Linked DNA regions of Bombyx mori. The main gene of each other region encodes a partner of the protein of the gene in region 2 in a complex. Links are inferred from orthologs where the notes say so. Each region holds a gene or a part of one and is shown on either strand. Other genes may lie near its edges.

Region 1 (2,271 bases), on a different chromosome or scaffold from region 2:
CATTAAGGTACCAATTTGGATATTCATACCTATCATTGTTCATAACATTGACATCAACACTGAAATACTAATAAGGAAATACAAACCGAACCTGTAAAAATGATAATTTTTGTAATTATTGGTGTTAAGGCATCTTGTTAGCCCACATAGGTAGTTCCTACAACCTTATTTCTGCTGTAAAGCAGTAATGTGTTTTAATTTGAAGGATCAGGCAGCCATTGCTCTATAGCACTAACATTTAGACCTCATGTTTCAAGTATGACATAATTTATGTTGTTCATGCCTATGGGCCTCATAACCACTTCACACTAGTTGGACTGTGAGCACATCTATCTAAGTAACTAATAATAGTTTCATTTTAAAACATTTGTCCTTAATAGTAAGAGTTTATTTTTGTAGTACGTGCATATATTTCTTAGCTAGTTTAAAAGTTCAAAAGATTAATTTGGTACATATTTTATAATAGTGCGTTTAAGTGTGTGTAAACTAAGATTGACAGTTATGTAAATAAAACAAAATTAAAACTTATTAACTATTGGATATATTTGAGAAGTAAAAGTTGTACAGACAAATTTTGAGATAATGAATTTCACTTCTTTCCTTTCTTGGCTGCTGGTTTGTCATCACCGTTCTTAGGAACCTGCCAGTTCAGAGGATTGCGTCGGTACATTGGCCATGGAGGAACAGTAAGAATGGCAGCAAGCAGAAATCCAGCACCAAGAATATACACTGACTGCGAGAATTGCTGAACTATATAACCCCATACAAAACCAACTATACTGAACAATGTAATTATTGCCCTGTATAATTTCTCTGCTTTTGCTTGTCCGACGTAATCTATGTGGGTTGGTATAGATGTAAAGAAATCCATCTTGCTAAATTAGATTAATATCACTTGCCACAACAACAAATTATTTTGAAGAAACTTATCAGAAGTAACCAATTAAACGGTCTGACATTAAACGTCAAGCAATAGACACGTCAATACTAAATTGACGTCGTCATAAAAGATATTACCAGTATTATAAAACTGATTTCTAAACGTTTCTTTTTATTAGCCAATATTTTTTTTGTTCTTCCTAAATTTTATTTTATCAAAAAACTTTTAGCCATATCTTAAAATTTAGATGGCTTGCAACAAAGCTATGTTGATAGTAGTTTTAAGATATTTTCTAGTAATACTGCTTTTTCCTTTCCGTCAGTCGATTGTCAACATTCAGTACGATCAGACTCATTAGGTTAATTTTAGTTTTACAAAAAGATAATTTAGTTTTATTTTTCCAAAGTACAACAATCAAAATTAATTTAACAAAATGACAACGCTTAAACAAGTTCCTCTTACATGCGGTGGCCACACGAGACCAGTCGTGCATTTGGATTTTAGTGACGTTACAAAAGACGGATATTATTTGATTTCTGCCTGCAAAGGTAAGTTTTTATTGTTTATTCGTTTGGGGTGCTTTTGCCTTAGTCGTGACATATATAGGAAACATAATTTTTTCTAATATTAGTGGGGTGTGTTTCACGTTGACAAATGTCGGGCGTCGTGCTACGTTTATGAGACCTTCACTTTAGTTGTTTTGTTCTGAACAGTAGGTTTGGCCGGCGTGCATTCTATGCATGTTGCGACCTTCTCTTTCCGGACATGCAGGAAGCACCTTGAATATCCACTTGTGTGTTTCCTCGGCGCCAGTTTGCCTTGGGCCGCGTCGTGCTTTTTATTCATGTACTAGAGGCTAGTGCATGACATACAAGTTTTTCAACTTTGAATGCATACAAATTTGGAGCGAGCTCGGAAGTTTATTCCTGTATTAAATTAAATGTTGACATTTCACTTATTCTGGGTCACCTTGTACCAGCTCAAGGTTTGTTGTACTTGACATTATTAATAATGATATGGGAGTTCTGACAACATAATACTCTAACACAATGACTTATCTGTAAATTTTATTATAATGAAAATCAGAAATAAATGATAATTATTATAATTTTCACTTCCTTGTATTGCTAATGTGAAATTAATTATATTCAAGTCTTGGCTTACATGTTTTGTTTGTATGATATCCTTGGTTTTAGCTGTTACCTGTTTTGGTTCTGATTTAATAGTTCCATTAATCTCTGATGAATTAATCTTTTTTTTATATGTAAATAAGTATAAAAATCAGGAAATAGCATACTTGAATGTTGTTATTATGTAGTGTAGTATTGTTTATTTATTTCCTTGTATAATTAATAGTTGTTATCATGTTTTGTGTTCTTTTATACAAAATC
Region 2 (4,079 bases):
TGTTTCCCGCGCCGACTAGTGCGCCTCGTCGCGACAGTCCTTGTCGCAGCCTTCTTTCGCTTCGCCATTGCTCTTCTACTCGGAGGCAGCAACAAACAACCTACAAAATTACATTACATATTTTGACAACAGTAATAACATGGTGGGGCTTACATATTATGACCTCTTTCGTTCATTGTTGATGCTGTCAATGCCACATGTGTTATAATATGAAAATTATATGATATCTAATGTTTTATGATTTAATAACGTAATTTAAATATTTTCTGCAAATCAGCAAAGTTTATCCATCGGTACTAAGGAAAAGGTACTAAGGAACAATTTTGTTCTTACATACCATCACTTTTTGGAACAACTAGTATTCCTTACATTTGTCACTGAACGAATAGTCGTATTTTGTCAGTTTAAAACAGTAACAAAACTTTGACCAATAAGCGACCAAACTAGTCTTTTTTAACTTATGATGGATGATTCCTTATTTGTCAAGAAAACCGCATACAGTCATTTATGTATTTCGTTATGTCGGAATTCATTTCAATTTCAATCCATTTCAATTTTCAACTTCAATTTGTTTTTTAATCATTTGTTTACGGCCACTGGTCACTTGACGTTTTACCCGCTTTCAGTTTTTTTAACATGTCTTCTAGACAATCGTTTCTATAAAAGAAAAGTTTGAAGGAGTCATTTTTAGAGATATTATTCTATTTCTATGTACTTGTAAACTTTTAGGAATACTAAACCTTTTCACTATATTATTACTTACTCTTTGATCTGAAAAAAAAAACTGCATATTGAAAAATCACGTTTCCGCCAAATAATCCAAATTGAAATTGGTGATGATTTATGTTAGTAATTTGCAATAACGGTGATTTATTAATTTTATAAACCGTTGAGTATGTTGTGCATAAATGCGAAATAATTAAATCAAATCGCTGGATGTGGCTTTTTGGGTTGTTCTAATACGCCCACTGAACCCCTTAGTAAATTCTCAACGTTTTATTTAATCACGTCCAAGACCTGCAGTATTGTCTATCTCTCCTATTTTAATTCTAAATCACTTACGGACAAAATACGTGACTTGGGTATTTGTATTTAAAAATATATTGTATGAATAACGTTCCCTTTGCGGTTTCAATGAAGAATCAAACAAAATGGTCTATGCTACTAAGCATTTAACATAGATAATACTCTCAAATATATTAAGTGTATAATCTATGGATAATACACTCTTAGCTGCCAAGTATCTGTCAAAAGTATCGAAAATTAAAATTAAGTTTGTCCTGGAAAAATTAACTGAAATCTGAACTTAAAATTTATAAAACAACGCTAAATAAGTTATTTTAATATATACAACATGTCTGAAACGGCGGAGGTATTTTAACGTTTACTTTAAAGATCTCGGCACCTTTAGTTTTCTTGCCAACTGTGCGTGGTGTTAGGACACGTCACTTTAAAATCTATTTACTTTTAATTTTATTCTACTTATTTTACTAGAAAATGACTGGCTTTAAAGTTACTAAAATCTTATTACTCTACTGATGTACTGATACTACTATGTACTGTTATGATACCCATATTCATGGTTTACCCCTTCGAGAAGGGGTAGTTTGGAACACCCGTGTCAAAAAAGTAAGATTTAAGACGACTATAACTTGGAAATTTATAGAAAAAACTATAATTTCAGGCTGCAAAGATCAACAAATGGGATGGTGCTGCAGCAAAAAATGCTGTTGATGATGCTATTAGAGAGGTAATACATAGTTTTGCTTATTAAAATTTTGTCCATTGAACATTTAGTAACATAATGTTCATGGCTGACGCACAAACCGTGCAGGCCAAGAAATGGGAGAGAAAAAAAAACATAATGTTCATTTGAATATAAAACTAAGCATTGTAACAATATTTTTTTTATTGCTTATGGGTGGCGAGCTCACATCCCACCTGGTGTTAAGTGGTTACCGGAGCCCATAGACATCTACAACGTTAATGCGCCACCCACCTTGAGATATAAGTTCTAAGGTCTCAGTATAGTTTGTGTTTGTGCGTAGGAATTAATTAAGTCTATAAAAAAATTTTTTAGGTAATGACTGGAGACTTAAAATGCAAGGAAAGCTTTGCTCTAATTGACGGTAGACTGTTCCTCTGTGCTCTGGCTGTTGGTGTGGCCCTTTACGCACTGCTATGGGATTATCTTTATCCATTCCCTCAATCAAGGTAAAAAACCACTAATGTATTTGACTGTTATTGTATAGTTGAATTTTAATTTTATTTCTTTTGAAATGCCAACGGTTACTCATAGAATTTGTCTATACTAAATTGTACTCAACTTTGAACTCATTAGTAACTTATAAGAGTTATGAGAATTTTATGTCTTAAAAACCGGAACATTAATCAGAAGAAGGTGCTATGCTCCATTTATACACCGTATTAGTATAAGTGCCTCATTGCCTTCCCTAAGTCTGGTGTGAAGGTCTAGATAATCAATACTACTCTCAATAGTTAAAACATCTACTTCATATTGCAACAACAGCTGCATTCACATTGTACTCTTTTAGTTCTGCTAACTGTATCGGTCCAGAGTAGAGTCTGTAGAGAGTGAAGATCTAAATAAGTTGATAAAAAAAATTACCACTATTTACAGACTGGTTCTAATCATCTGTGTGTCATCATATTTCATACTGATGGGTATTTTGACCCTCTACACTACATTCAAAGAGAAGGGCATCTTTGTGGTAGCCAAGGAGAAGGTTGGAAATAACACCAGGGTCTGGGAAGCCAGTTCTTATGTAAAGAAGTAAGTCTACTTCCTACTACTTGAGTATATCCTATATTGTAATAAAATCATTGGATTTTACAGGTGACTTAAATTTAAAATGAAGCACAGTGGTGGTTTCACTGGTGGTAGGACCTCTTGTAAGTCTGTACGGGTAGGTAGCACCACCCCGCCTATTTCTGCCGTGAAGCAGTAATGCTTTTCGGTTTGAAGGATGGGGTAGTCATTGTAACTATACTGAGGCCTTAGAACTTATATCTCAAGTTGGGTGGCGCATTTAAATTGTAGATGTCTATGGGCTCCAGTAACCACTTAACACCAGGTGGGCTGTGAGCTCGTCACCCATCTAAGCAATAAAAAATAAATTAAAAAAAAAACAGTACATTTATGACCAGCAAGTAATGGCCTACATTTGTTACGTACAGTAGCAAGTGTGATCTTGTAATTATACCTTGAATTGATACAAAATTGTATGAAATCAACCTTGCAATATGTTTAAATTAACAAAGATGTAAGAAACAATGGGGACTTCTACCTCATATTTAAAGGACTAGAATTAAAGTTATTGCAATAACAATTTTCAGCTTACACCGAACACCAAGTTGTTGAATCTACCCAGATCTCTTAATAATATTAAATAAATTAGATGTCTGCCTTTGTCTGTGTTTTTATGCAATTTTTTCCAGGCTAAGCTGGAATGGCCACTTAGGCTACCAGAGGGTAGGTAGGAAAAATTTTTTTAGGCAGACAAGCATACGGCTCACCTGATGGTGAGTGGTTATCGTCGCCCATGGCTAACATTAGCTGAAATTTAAAAGAAAGCTTAGGCTACAAGTTTGAACTTGCCTGCAGCAAGCTAGTGTAGCTCTGATTATAAGATACCCACTATATCTGTACAAACATGTATAAACAATACTAATATTAGTTTGAGATAGAATTGTGTTGTAGCAGAATTGTTACTTGTGAAAAATCTATGAAAGTTATATTTAGGCCTTTAATTTTATCAGATGGTTGGCTTAGAGGATTTGCTTACATAAAAGAGTAAATTAGAGAGTAGGTGCATGCACAAATTCTAATAAAATTAATTAATAATAATTGTCTAATGTAACTGCTGCGATTATCAAAGTTGTATCCAAATTTTACTTGTACTTTAATGTAATTATTTTAATTTTGTAGACACGACGATAAATACAATCTCGTAATTGTTATGCGAGACACGAATGGCAACACTCGTGAGGCATCCGTGACCAAGTCGTTTGCCAACTTCATCGACGTGAACGGCACTGTAGTTCAAAACATTGTATCT

The links.
Region 1: signal peptidase complex subunit 2 (region 2) and signal peptidase complex subunit 1 share a complex: the UniProt entries of both Drosophila melanogaster proteins name them as parts of the signal peptidase complex. The link is inferred for Bombyx mori from reciprocal best matches to the Drosophila melanogaster genes Spase25 and Spase12.

What each region holds. Positions count from the first base shown.
Region 1 is NC_085123.1:9,320,481-9,322,751, forward strand, and holds signal peptidase complex subunit 1, read right to left. Parts: upstream 983-2,271; 5' UTR 872-982; coding exon 590-871; 3' UTR 519-589; downstream 1-518. Other genes in the region: serine-threonine kinase receptor-associated protein, read left to right, coding at 1,314-1,428. UniProt on the Drosophila melanogaster protein: Component of the signal peptidase complex (SPC) which catalyzes the cleavage of N-terminal signal sequences from nascent proteins as they are translocated into the lumen of the endoplasmic reticulum.
Region 2 is NC_085110.1:14,727,780-14,731,858, forward strand, and holds the start of signal peptidase complex subunit 2, read left to right. Parts: upstream 1-1,236; 5' UTR 1,237-1,354; coding exon 1,355-1,372; intron 1,373-1,684; coding exon 1,685-1,750; intron 1,751-2,080; coding exon 2,081-2,214; intron 2,215-2,641; coding exon 2,642-2,794; intron 2,795-3,949; coding exon 3,950-4,079. Other genes in the region: histone-lysine N-methyltransferase SETD2, read right to left, coding at 1-68. UniProt on the Drosophila melanogaster protein: Component of the signal peptidase complex (SPC) which catalyzes the cleavage of N-terminal signal sequences from nascent proteins as they are translocated into the lumen of the endoplasmic reticulum.